Tribolium castaneum: one gene and its partners. The main gene of each other region encodes a partner of the protein of the gene in region 3 in a complex. Links are inferred from orthologs where the notes say so. Each region holds a gene or a part of one and is shown on either strand. Other genes may lie near its edges.

Region 1 (4,383 bases), on a different chromosome or scaffold from region 3:
GCCAACACGACGACGAAAAAATTACGGCTTAAATTGACTCGTTTTTCGCCCAAAATAACAACAATGTACACGTTGGTACGCCTGGCCCCAATCCCGACTTGGGGAAGTACCAACACAATTGCAAAAACTACCAAAAAGAAAAAAGAGTTGCCATGGCCGCCTTATCGATCCGGTCACAAATAGACGAATTGTTTAAAAATTGAAATTATTAGTCACGTGACGAGAGAAATTACAGGAATGGATTTTATCGATGGCACCCCCGAAGGAGCGACGTGTCAATGACTTGCAAAATAGGCGACTGTGTTACAATTTGAGACAGGTTCATGAACGGGGGACGCGTGGCAACAGGGCGGCCGTGCCACGGGGACCTCGCTAAGACTCGAGCGGCACTTGAGCCCCCCAGAGCATCCCAAAAGACAGAGGGGTGAACTGGAAGCCAGTTCCAGGCACACCATGGGGCCAAAGCCCAAACTTGGGGCTAAAACATGGATAAAGACAGCCCGAAGTCGCCCGATGTGACCCGAACCGGTCCGATCGTCCCTCGCCCAGATATATCGATTTTGGTTTATACCTAGTGCGGCGTTGCCACGTTTATTGATTCTCAAAATAAAACAACAATTATAAAAATTTCCGGGCCGCAATCATGTTTTTTCGGGCCCTTTTGAACGCTTGGAGCACTTGCTCCACGCTTTTGACCAAACTTGACGAGTTCAATTTTTCGAAAATTTCCAAATTTTCCTCGGAATTTTCTCTGTATTTGTCCAGAAACGCCTGGCTTTGATGGACGACGTGAACGGTCACGCTGATCAGACCGGTACCAACCGTGTTAGTCCCATATTTATTTAAAACAGACCCCTGGAAAAAAAATTTCCTTAGATAAGCTCGCCATTTTAAGCTGAGCTTAAACTGCAGTGTTGCTCAGCTAAGCCGCGCTGAACTTAACTTTGCGGTTGGTAGTACTGCACGCTTGCGCACTTATGACAGTTCTGATTTTAAAAAGTTAGGTTAAGATTCATTAATGTCACCATTTATCAATATTTCGGTACATTGTAGCAATAATATCGTTATAATAAAAATCTTATGTTTAAAAATGTATCAATAAAATGCGGCATTTATTTATTTCATGTTTAAAAATTTGTCCTACAATAAAAAAAATACTGATAAAATATATTGATGGAATAAGAATAAGTGAATTATTATCATTATACTTTTTTTGCTGTTTTTTTTTTCATCCAATGCAAGCAAGTAACTTTTTGCTTTCTAGTGTTAGTTTATACTATTGAACAAAATTGACCAATTTCAACAAAATTATAATGTTATCTACAATAATAATTTATTAAAAATATTAGCAATAAGCCGAGGTTTAGTTAAACCTAACCTAAATGAGCAACACTCGGTGTCGGCTTAAGCCCGCTTTAAGCCTTAGTAACCTTTCATTTAGTCAACTCACATCGTAATGTTTCGGTAATCCCACCCAAGTCAAGTCACCATAGCTTGAACAATCGCCAATAAAAAACCGGCGTAACTGACCGGAAATCCGGTCGGGGATTAACCGGAAACATTGTAGGTTAAACCGGTAATTCCCCGGCTTGGCAACGGGCAAGGCCTTATAAGTCAGCCCTTCAGTCCTATACCGACTCCAAGTGTCCTTCGAAATAACCTCAAAGTAGATATAAGGGCACTTGGGGATTCCCCTTTTGCCCAAATCCTCGATATTGTACTCTAACGTAACGTCGAAAACGTGCCCGAAATGGGCCAAACCCTCATCGCCAGTCACGTGACACGTTTGCGTCACGCCCTGCAGTTGCGATTGGTCAGTCGGGGACCAATCCGACGGCAAGTCGATGAAATACTGGACGTAGATTGGTCCATACTCGAAATATTGCGCCCACGCGAGTTCCATGAACAAATGAACGGCCAGTTTGTTTTTGGCGGGAAGTTTGAAACTCAAACATTTCAAAAGCTCGGTTTTGTGGCCATTTATCTGCAAATTCTTTAAATAAGATAAATTCGGGGATAATACAACACACACTTTTCGGATTAATTCTTTTTCGCGACGGTGGGCTTCCTCAGGCATTTGGGCCGAAACGTTCTCAAGGAAATAGTGATATTTGCGAATTGTGGCGCCTTCAAGTCGGATTAAATACGGCTGGGATTTGGTAAAGTCGGGGTTAATTGATAATATTTTGTACTTCCGGTCGTATTTAACGACACACAGGACTTGTTCCTGCTTGAGCCAAGTCGAATCGATGTATTCGCTACGAACAAATCGCTTTATAGTCACTCGGACGTTTCGGGGGAATTACCCGAGGTCCGCCATGATGTACATGACCTCAAACTCGTAATTATGACCAATGGGATTTCGCACTGCTGCCACAAGTGACTGGCCGTAGTCGTACCCCTGGCCATTTTCGTCGCAATTTTCGCGGAAATTGTCATTAACTTCCTGTTTGAGGGCAAAATCGTCGTCATTGGTGTACGAAAACAGGTCAAAATGCGCCTCAGTGTGTGATTCCCCGACGTCCGAATGGTACTTTTTCTCCAGATCTGTGATACAGTTTTTTTCGTCCTTGTAGTACTCCCTTTCTGACTTGCTGAAGCATTTCTGTTGCCAGGCGAAGTCTTTCTGCTCCCAACCGTCCGAATCCTCGCCAGTTAAATCCCCCACTTGGCGCAACTTCACTCTTGAACCTTGAACTTTAATTGTGTACGTAGTGTCTTTACTTACCTTATTTTCAAGTTGGTGATGTCATCCGAGCACCTGTAAATTGCCGTGTATTTGACCAAAGTCTCCTCCTGACTCATTTTAAGTGTTTTACACGTGAATCACAACAATGACGTTAGCCGCGCGCCATTTTTCAAACCTGCCAGGCGCGGAATTCCCCCAGTTGGGCCCAAAGTTACCAAAACATAACCGTGTAATGATAATTAACAAAACAAAAGTGATAATAATAATAAGTGATAACATGTAGTAACACGAGTGTTAGTAACGTAAACAGTGATTGTGTGTGTGCGCCAATTGAGGTTATGTGGCCATGGCCAACTCGGAGACGCCGCTCCAAGCCAGCCGCAAAAACGCCTACTACCGCAGCATTTTCGACAAAGTGAGCCCCCCAGTTTAGTAGCAATCACCCAAACTGCGCTTTCAGTACGACCGGGACCATGACGGTTTTATCAACATCGGGGAGCTGAATGACCTGATCGAGAGCCGGGAATATGACCACGACATCCCCGAGCACGTCGTGCGGAAAATCCACCAAATGGCCGATCAGAACCACGACGACCGAATCGATTTCACCGAATTCGTGGACATGATAAACCACCCGGACCTCCAGTACGTTTTCGGGCACTATGTCAACAGGTACATCCAGATGGTGGTGCCCCGCCGACGGGGCGCCAGCGAGGTGGACGGGGCCTACGACGACCAGTACTCCTGCTACCCCCCGGCCGTGGGCATGATCATTATTTCGCTAATCGAGGTCATTTTTTTCTGTGTGGATGAGGCAATCGAGGCGGATTCGACCAAATCGGCCTCGGGCCCCATCAGTTCCGTCTTCATCTACGACCCCTACAAGAGACAGGAGGCTTGGCGGTTCATCACTTACATGTTTGTGCACGTTGGGTAATTAATCAACAATTGACCGACGTTAGCCACCCAATTAATTGCAGAGCCTTCCATTTGTTTGTCAATCTTTTGGTGCAAATTCTACTGGGGACTCCGCTAGAAATGGTGCACCGGTGGTGGCGAGTGCTCCTCATTTATTTCGCGGGGGTCCTCGCCGGGTCGCTTGCTACCTCAATCGCCGACCCCACCGTGAGACTTGCGGGGGCCAGCGGTGGGGTCTACTCCCTCATCACGGCACATATAGCCACCATTATAATGAATTGGAGGGAAATGTCGTTCCCCATCGTCCAGTTATTTATTTTTTTGATCATTATGGCCTCCGACATTGGGACCGCCATTTACAATCGGTATTTCCTCGAAATGGACGAACATATCGGGTACATGGCCCACTTTGCGGGGGCTATTGCCGGGCTCTTGGTGGGGCTCAACGTCCTAAGAAACCTAGAAGTGACAACGGTCGAACGGGTCATTTGGTGGCTCTCTATCGTCACGTATTGTCTCCTGATGGCAATCGCAATCATTTGGAATTTTGCCTGGCCTGAGTATTTTTTGAAAAGTCGGGAACGGATTTGAGGTTAGGAAATGACACAAAAGTGTAACAATTATTATTTTTAAGCACAGATTAGGTACAAAGTGACCAGTTTTTGCAGTATTGTATGACTAGAGGTTGATTTTAGTATTATTTTTGATTTTGTAAAAGTGGGGTTATGTCGGCGCATAATCAGAAAGTGTTTTATTTGAGCATTGCGCGAGCCCCC
Region 2 (2,891 bases), on a different chromosome or scaffold from region 3:
ACCAAGTAATAAGAGCTCACATAACCGCACTTTCTGTTTCAGAAAATCACAGTCAAGTATGAGGAAGACCGGGAAAATTACGAGTTTCTAGAGGACATGATACTTAAACAAAAAAATGTGGGCCAACTGCTTGTTGTGGACGCTTTGCAGTGGCTGCGGCGGTAAAAAGCCCCTTTTTGGGAGACTTATGCATAAATCGTTTCAGAGCCCTTCATTTCATTTCGCGCTTCTTCCAGTCTGTGATCGATGACTCCGACAATAATAATAACACGCAGGATTTGTCCATATTTGTGAAAAACGCGTACAAGGAGACTCTGGAGCGGTACCACGGCTGGTTGGGGTCTCAGTTGTTTAATGTACTTTCGTCATTTTTTCAAAAATTGTGGCTTATCCCAACAAGTTGTAGATTTTGTCACGGTTTACCCCAAACCGGCAACAGCTTTTCTACCAACTCGCGCTCGAGAAGCACCACAAGGAGGACCACGTTTTGCGTGATATGAGACAGTTCACGCTCAGGATGTCCTCATGTGTTCAGAAGCTGGTGGATTTCTACCAAGAGCATGATCTCGAGACGAATGATAGGGTCTAGTTGTTGTACTTAGAAATTTTATATTTGTTGATCTTCCAGTTGTAAATAAAACGTTTGGTATAGATTCATTTTTTATTCACTCGGTAGCGTTCTTGTACATCTGCAAGCGTCACATCTGATCTTAATTTCATAATGCGAAAGTAAATTGCTTGTTGCGCTGCCGTAAATTTCAAAGCACAATAGCTTGACACCAACTGAATGCATAACATCACGAACATGATACTTTGCACTATTATTTCTATAACATGCAATTTGAAGTTAGGATTGAATAACAGAAGACCTTGTAGAGGAAACTGGAGCAGTAAGGACAACATCCAAAAGCCCGCCAGTTCAGGAATCTACAATCTTATTTATTTAAATCGTCCGCAAAGTGGCCGTGATATTCAACAAACTGTGCACATGTGTAATATTGGTTGCATCTGCCGACTCAATTATTATCATTAACTTACTTTATCCTCAAGATTTCCCTTGTACCCTAAATAGAGTCTTAACATTTCCAAAAGGAAAACTGTCGAAATGACCGTTATGATAATAAACTTGTACAGTTCGCTAAAGCAGAGATACTGGAATTGGTATTTCGAGTCATTTAGTAGTTTTTCGTAGTTAGTCTTACTGTATTCCTTAAATAAAGCACAAGAATGGCCATCCAAAATGGCGCGAAAATCACGTTGAAATAGAGCGACATCTGCAGCGGCAAATTTGACATAACTTCGTTACCTAAAAAGCCTTAAGGAATCGTAATTAACCAGGCATGTTTTTACCATAAACAACATTATCGATTTTACGCGAAAGGCCTGGAAACACTTTATCAGACACTGACGTCACAGTTTCCTTCCAATCCATAATGAATATTTTGAGCAAACAACAAGGTCAAGATTATTTTTAATGTTCTGATTGTTAACAGATTGTTGGACATTTATGTCCTGAAATTGATAATCTGGTTTTGTTTGTATTAACTTGGGGTTGAGTTGCTTGGAAACCGTAATCAAATCCCCCACATTTGCTGGTATTGACCACTGCAGGTGTTTATTTTTGCATTTTTTTTAACTTTATTCTTTCTGTCCGATTGATGTTATTCTCATAAGTTTTAAGCTAACAAAAAAATGATCACAGATATGTATCGGAGGAAAATCTTCAAACAATAACAAGTGGTTATCCGAAAAGTTATCAGATAAAATGTTATTACGTAAGCAACGAAGGTCGTTCATTATTGTTGAGTACACATACCTAAAACAATGTGATACAAGCTACCAGAAATAATAAATATGGAAATACGAGACTTAAAACAGTGAGTATTTTTAATTTTAGCACCACTTACCTTTCGTATTTATTACCTTTAATCTTTTTTGAATTGTTTCATTTATTAGCTACTAGTTTACAATTTAAACAAAGTTTTATATTATCACAAATAAAAAATAGCATGGTCATTGTTGAGTCACTGGACTGAAAACTTATTGCTAAAATAATTTTAGAGCTGAAGAACTGCTTGTGAAATCAACACACGAAAACATTTTTGACTACATTGATGAAGAAATAGTTTCGTGGGATTTACCCAACCATGGGGATTATCCAGATCTGGTACCAAAAATAACTGACTTGGTTTACAAATTATACACAGAAATATTCCCGGAACAAAACAATCCCAGGAACTTTGCGGCCTTCCAGTGGTAATAATTTATAGGCAATTTGTTGTACTTGTTCTTTCATTGGTGATTTCAAGGATTATTTTTGATAAAATCCACGATTTGGTCGTGCCATGCATTAAAGCGAATTTGTTCCGAGAAGATGAAAATTTCTTCGAACGGTGCTCATTTTTGTGCAAAATTAACGTCTCGGCAAGGGAATTTGGCGCTGATGATAATTATAGTATCCCGTTATGTGCTGCCGTAATTGAAAATATTTTTTTAACTGATGCGTGTAATGTTTTTTTTAGGTTGTGGAATTGTCGGTTATAGACAAATATAAAAGTCCCAACGAGAAAATGAACTGTTTGTGCAGTACGTACGATTTAGTATTTGCGGAAATAAAGACAGCGATGGTTTCAGTAATTTCAGAAAGGTCAGGTAAGTTGCATCTTGATTTATTGTATGTACTAGGTTTTTTTAATTGTTAATAATTACAGATAAGGAAATTGAAATTCCCATTATTGACAACAAGGACATAATGCCTGTGCTTATGGTGGTAATTCTTAGGTCGAAATTACGCTACATGTTGAGCAATTTATTTTATATTAAAACTTTTTATTTAAAGATAGAAGAAAATCGAGAAATTTTGTAAGTGTTAGGCGTCTTTTTTATGAACT
Region 3 (2,703 bases):
AAGAGGTACAGAAAACTGATATAATTAAAAAATAGCAGACTATACAAGACAGGAGGTAGAAAATTGATTAAATCAGTAAAAAAACAAAAGGAAGAAGGAAATAAAGGTTAAAAAAGACAAGTGAAAGAGAAAGGTAGATAAAGAATAGAAAAATATACATGCGACGTTGGATACAATAATAATGTTAATAAAAAAAATATTGAAGCATTCTTTTGTTGACTTAATGTCGTTTTAGTTTATTTGAATTGTAATTTTTTTTCTTTTGTTTTGCTGTTTATTAATATAAAAAATAAACTTAGTATCTCGGCCAACTTTTTGAAAAACATAATTATATTTTTGGTGTTCTATAGTTGGTCACCTTATGTAAGCATTACAATCGCATGACATAGGAATTCAAGTTCATGGATAACTCGATTATAAATTAATTTGATCGCTTGATGACAGAAAACCAATTGAAACCGAATATTTATATTAAATTAAATTATAAACCATTCCTTCATTAATCAAGTAAGCTGTGCGTAAAAAAATATTTATTGACCCAAATCGTTACAAAAATTAGTCTTTTCCTCTCCCGAAATCATATCCAAGACTCCTCACACCTTGCATTACGACATTCACCGAAATCCTCACTTCTCCATGACTCAACATCTGAATTACTGAAACCAAAACTAGAACTAGAAATCTTTGCGTGTTGTGACAAACATACAGTGATTTCCGGCAGTAGTTGCCAACATTTTCGGTTGCAACAACTCGGGCTGGTACCCGAAAAACGCCCCCATGTACCCCAACAACGAGCTGGCTTGGGGCTTCCCCAAAGCCACGTCCACCCGGTGCATCCCCGGCCTCAGCGGCATGTGCGCCCGCCCGTACCCCTCCAGCTGCACCCCCCGGTACACACTAACCACAATTTGGGGCCCTGCAACCACAATTGAACGCCTCAAAATGCAAAATTTCGAACTCACATCCGTAAAGATTCGTCGATTTGAAATTAATCTCAATCGGAAGGTTGAACACTACTAAAGCTCCGTTCACGACAACGTTGGAGGTTTGGGACACGCCGGCCTCGAGCCCCCCGATTATTTTCCAGTCCGGGCCTGTCACAAACTCGTACTTGCAGTGCCACGCGGAGCCCGAGGGGGCTAAAATGTCGACAGACTCAATCTGGCCCGTTAAAGACACCAGAAAGGTGCCGTCGGACATCGTGGGGGCTGTTTGTATTGTGGTTGCTATGGTAACTTATGTCATCTATATCATCAAAGAAAATGGAAAATTGGGTTTTGGCAAATGTTTTCTAACTCGAAGCAGTAAATAAATGCTAAATTTTGAAAATATTACTAGGACCAGGATAACAGGAACGCAAAGAGGTCTTTAGAAATTTCGAACCACAAAATTACAGAAACCTGTAAGGTTTGGAGCGCCATCAGGTGGAATTTTTGTAGTATAAAATTTGAATTACTTTTTGCGTTTCTGTGATCCTGGTACCAAGAGAAATTTCAAAATTTGCCAGAATTTTTAACTCGGAATGTTTGAAACACCTGACAACTCCAAATTTTAGCAAAATTTTATACCTCTTAAAGCCGGACACCTCTTCGTGTTCCTGTGATCCTAATACCACTCCTAATACTTTCCAAATTTTACCAAAAATAGTCAAAATTATCAAAAGTATCAGGGACGCAGGGAGGTATTTGAATGTAATAAGTAAGTTTTAAGCGCCATCTGGTGGGATTTTTAATGTAAAATAAAACACAAGTTCTGAAAATGGATATTTACTTACATAACTTCACTATAGATACAGTTCATAACGTAAAATAATTCTAGACAGTAAAAATAAATAATGCGGTACAATTTTTACATGTGGATGCGGTAATGTACAAAATAATGAAGCGTAACTTAGAAGAGAAGTCGAAAGAAGGCAAGGCCTGTGTCGATGTACGTGAAAAACCGTAACTTAAAAATAAGTTTTTTGATAAAGATACATTGACATTTATCGTAAAGTTACATGAAATATTAAATGAGACATGCATTCGAACTTCCAGTCTTATTCCAAGCATCAAATCATGAATCTTTGGCAGTTATTCCTTTATCAATACGATGAATATAATAATAATGTACAAAAAATTGAAACACGAACGAAGCGACGAGTGCCTCAAAGCCACCCATCACCTCACGTCCGGCTTGTAAAAACAGCTGTTTGATTATAAAAACTGTGTACAATCGAAGCTGTTTTGGTAAAAATTATTATCCCTAGAAAAATCTAAATTTAGACAGCTATTTTACCATTACATAAGTTTCACATTAATATGTAAAATATTTTTAATTACGTAAATTTGTTCTAACATTAAACTGACTTATTGTGACATTGTACTTAGCACCACCGAAATGGCAGTATCACTAAACCGACTATCCTGACACGGAACGCATGAGCAAATTTAGTGTGCTTTCAGAATAAGTTTTGTTCCCATTTGGTTGGTATCATGTGCGGGAAAATGTCACTGCAGCCACAATCGACGCACCCGCCTCAAAAACCACAACCACTGACAACAACTCAACACGCCCTCTAGCTGTGACTTCTATCATTAAAATATTTTATTTTGTCACGTTTTTTCAAAAATTATTTTAAGTAAATGTGTTTTTTAACCATGAAGAGTGGTTTGTTTTTCAGTTTGGAACACCCTGTGTCGTAAAAGTCAGGTTTGAAGTTAT

The links.
Region 1: B9 domain-containing protein 1 (region 3) and Mks1 share a complex: the UniProt entries of both Homo sapiens proteins name them as parts of the tectonic-like complex. The link is inferred for Tribolium castaneum from reciprocal best matches to the Homo sapiens genes B9D1 and MKS1.
Region 2: B9 domain-containing protein 1 (region 3) and transmembrane protein 17 share a complex: the UniProt entries of both Homo sapiens proteins name them as parts of the tectonic-like complex. The link is inferred for Tribolium castaneum from reciprocal best matches to the Homo sapiens genes B9D1 and TMEM17.

The regions. Positions count from the first base shown.
Region 1 is NC_087401.1:10,812,944-10,817,326, reverse strand, and holds Mks1 (tectonic-like complex member MKS1), read right to left. Parts: upstream 2,869-4,383; 5' UTR 2,806-2,868; coding exon 2,729-2,805; intron 2,685-2,728; coding exon 2,307-2,684; intron 2,259-2,306; coding exon 2,033-2,258; intron 1,985-2,032; coding exon 1,451-1,984; intron 856-1,450; coding exon 619-855; 3' UTR 576-618; downstream 1-575. Other genes in the region: rhomboid-related protein 2, read left to right, coding at 3,036-3,104, 3,150-3,622, 3,670-4,198. UniProt on the Homo sapiens protein: Component of the tectonic-like complex, a complex localized at the transition zone of primary cilia and acting as a barrier that prevents diffusion of transmembrane proteins between the cilia and plasma membranes.
Region 2 is NC_087395.1:14,181,847-14,184,737, reverse strand, and holds transmembrane protein 17, read right to left. Parts: upstream 1,485-2,891; 5' UTR 1,433-1,484; coding exon 1,351-1,432; intron 1,307-1,350; coding exon 1,203-1,306; intron 1,153-1,202; coding exon 1,039-1,152; intron 928-1,038; coding exon 655-927; 3' UTR 648-654; downstream 1-647. Other genes in the region: glycolipid transfer protein, read left to right, coding at 43-161, 206-356, 407-589; ankyrin repeat domain-containing protein 27, read left to right, coding at 1,855-1,877, 2,062-2,256, 2,310-2,475, 2,523-2,652, 2,712-2,862. UniProt on the Homo sapiens protein: Transmembrane component of the tectonic-like complex, a complex localized at the transition zone of primary cilia and acting as a barrier that prevents diffusion of transmembrane proteins between the cilia and plasma membranes.
Region 3 is NC_087399.1:9,020,781-9,023,483, forward strand, and holds B9 domain-containing protein 1, read right to left. Parts: upstream 1,357-2,703; 5' UTR 1,201-1,356; coding exon 963-1,200; intron 917-962; coding exon 707-916; intron 657-706; coding exon 556-656; 3' UTR 514-555; downstream 1-513. UniProt on the Homo sapiens protein: Component of the tectonic-like complex, a complex localized at the transition zone of primary cilia and acting as a barrier that prevents diffusion of transmembrane proteins between the cilia and plasma membranes.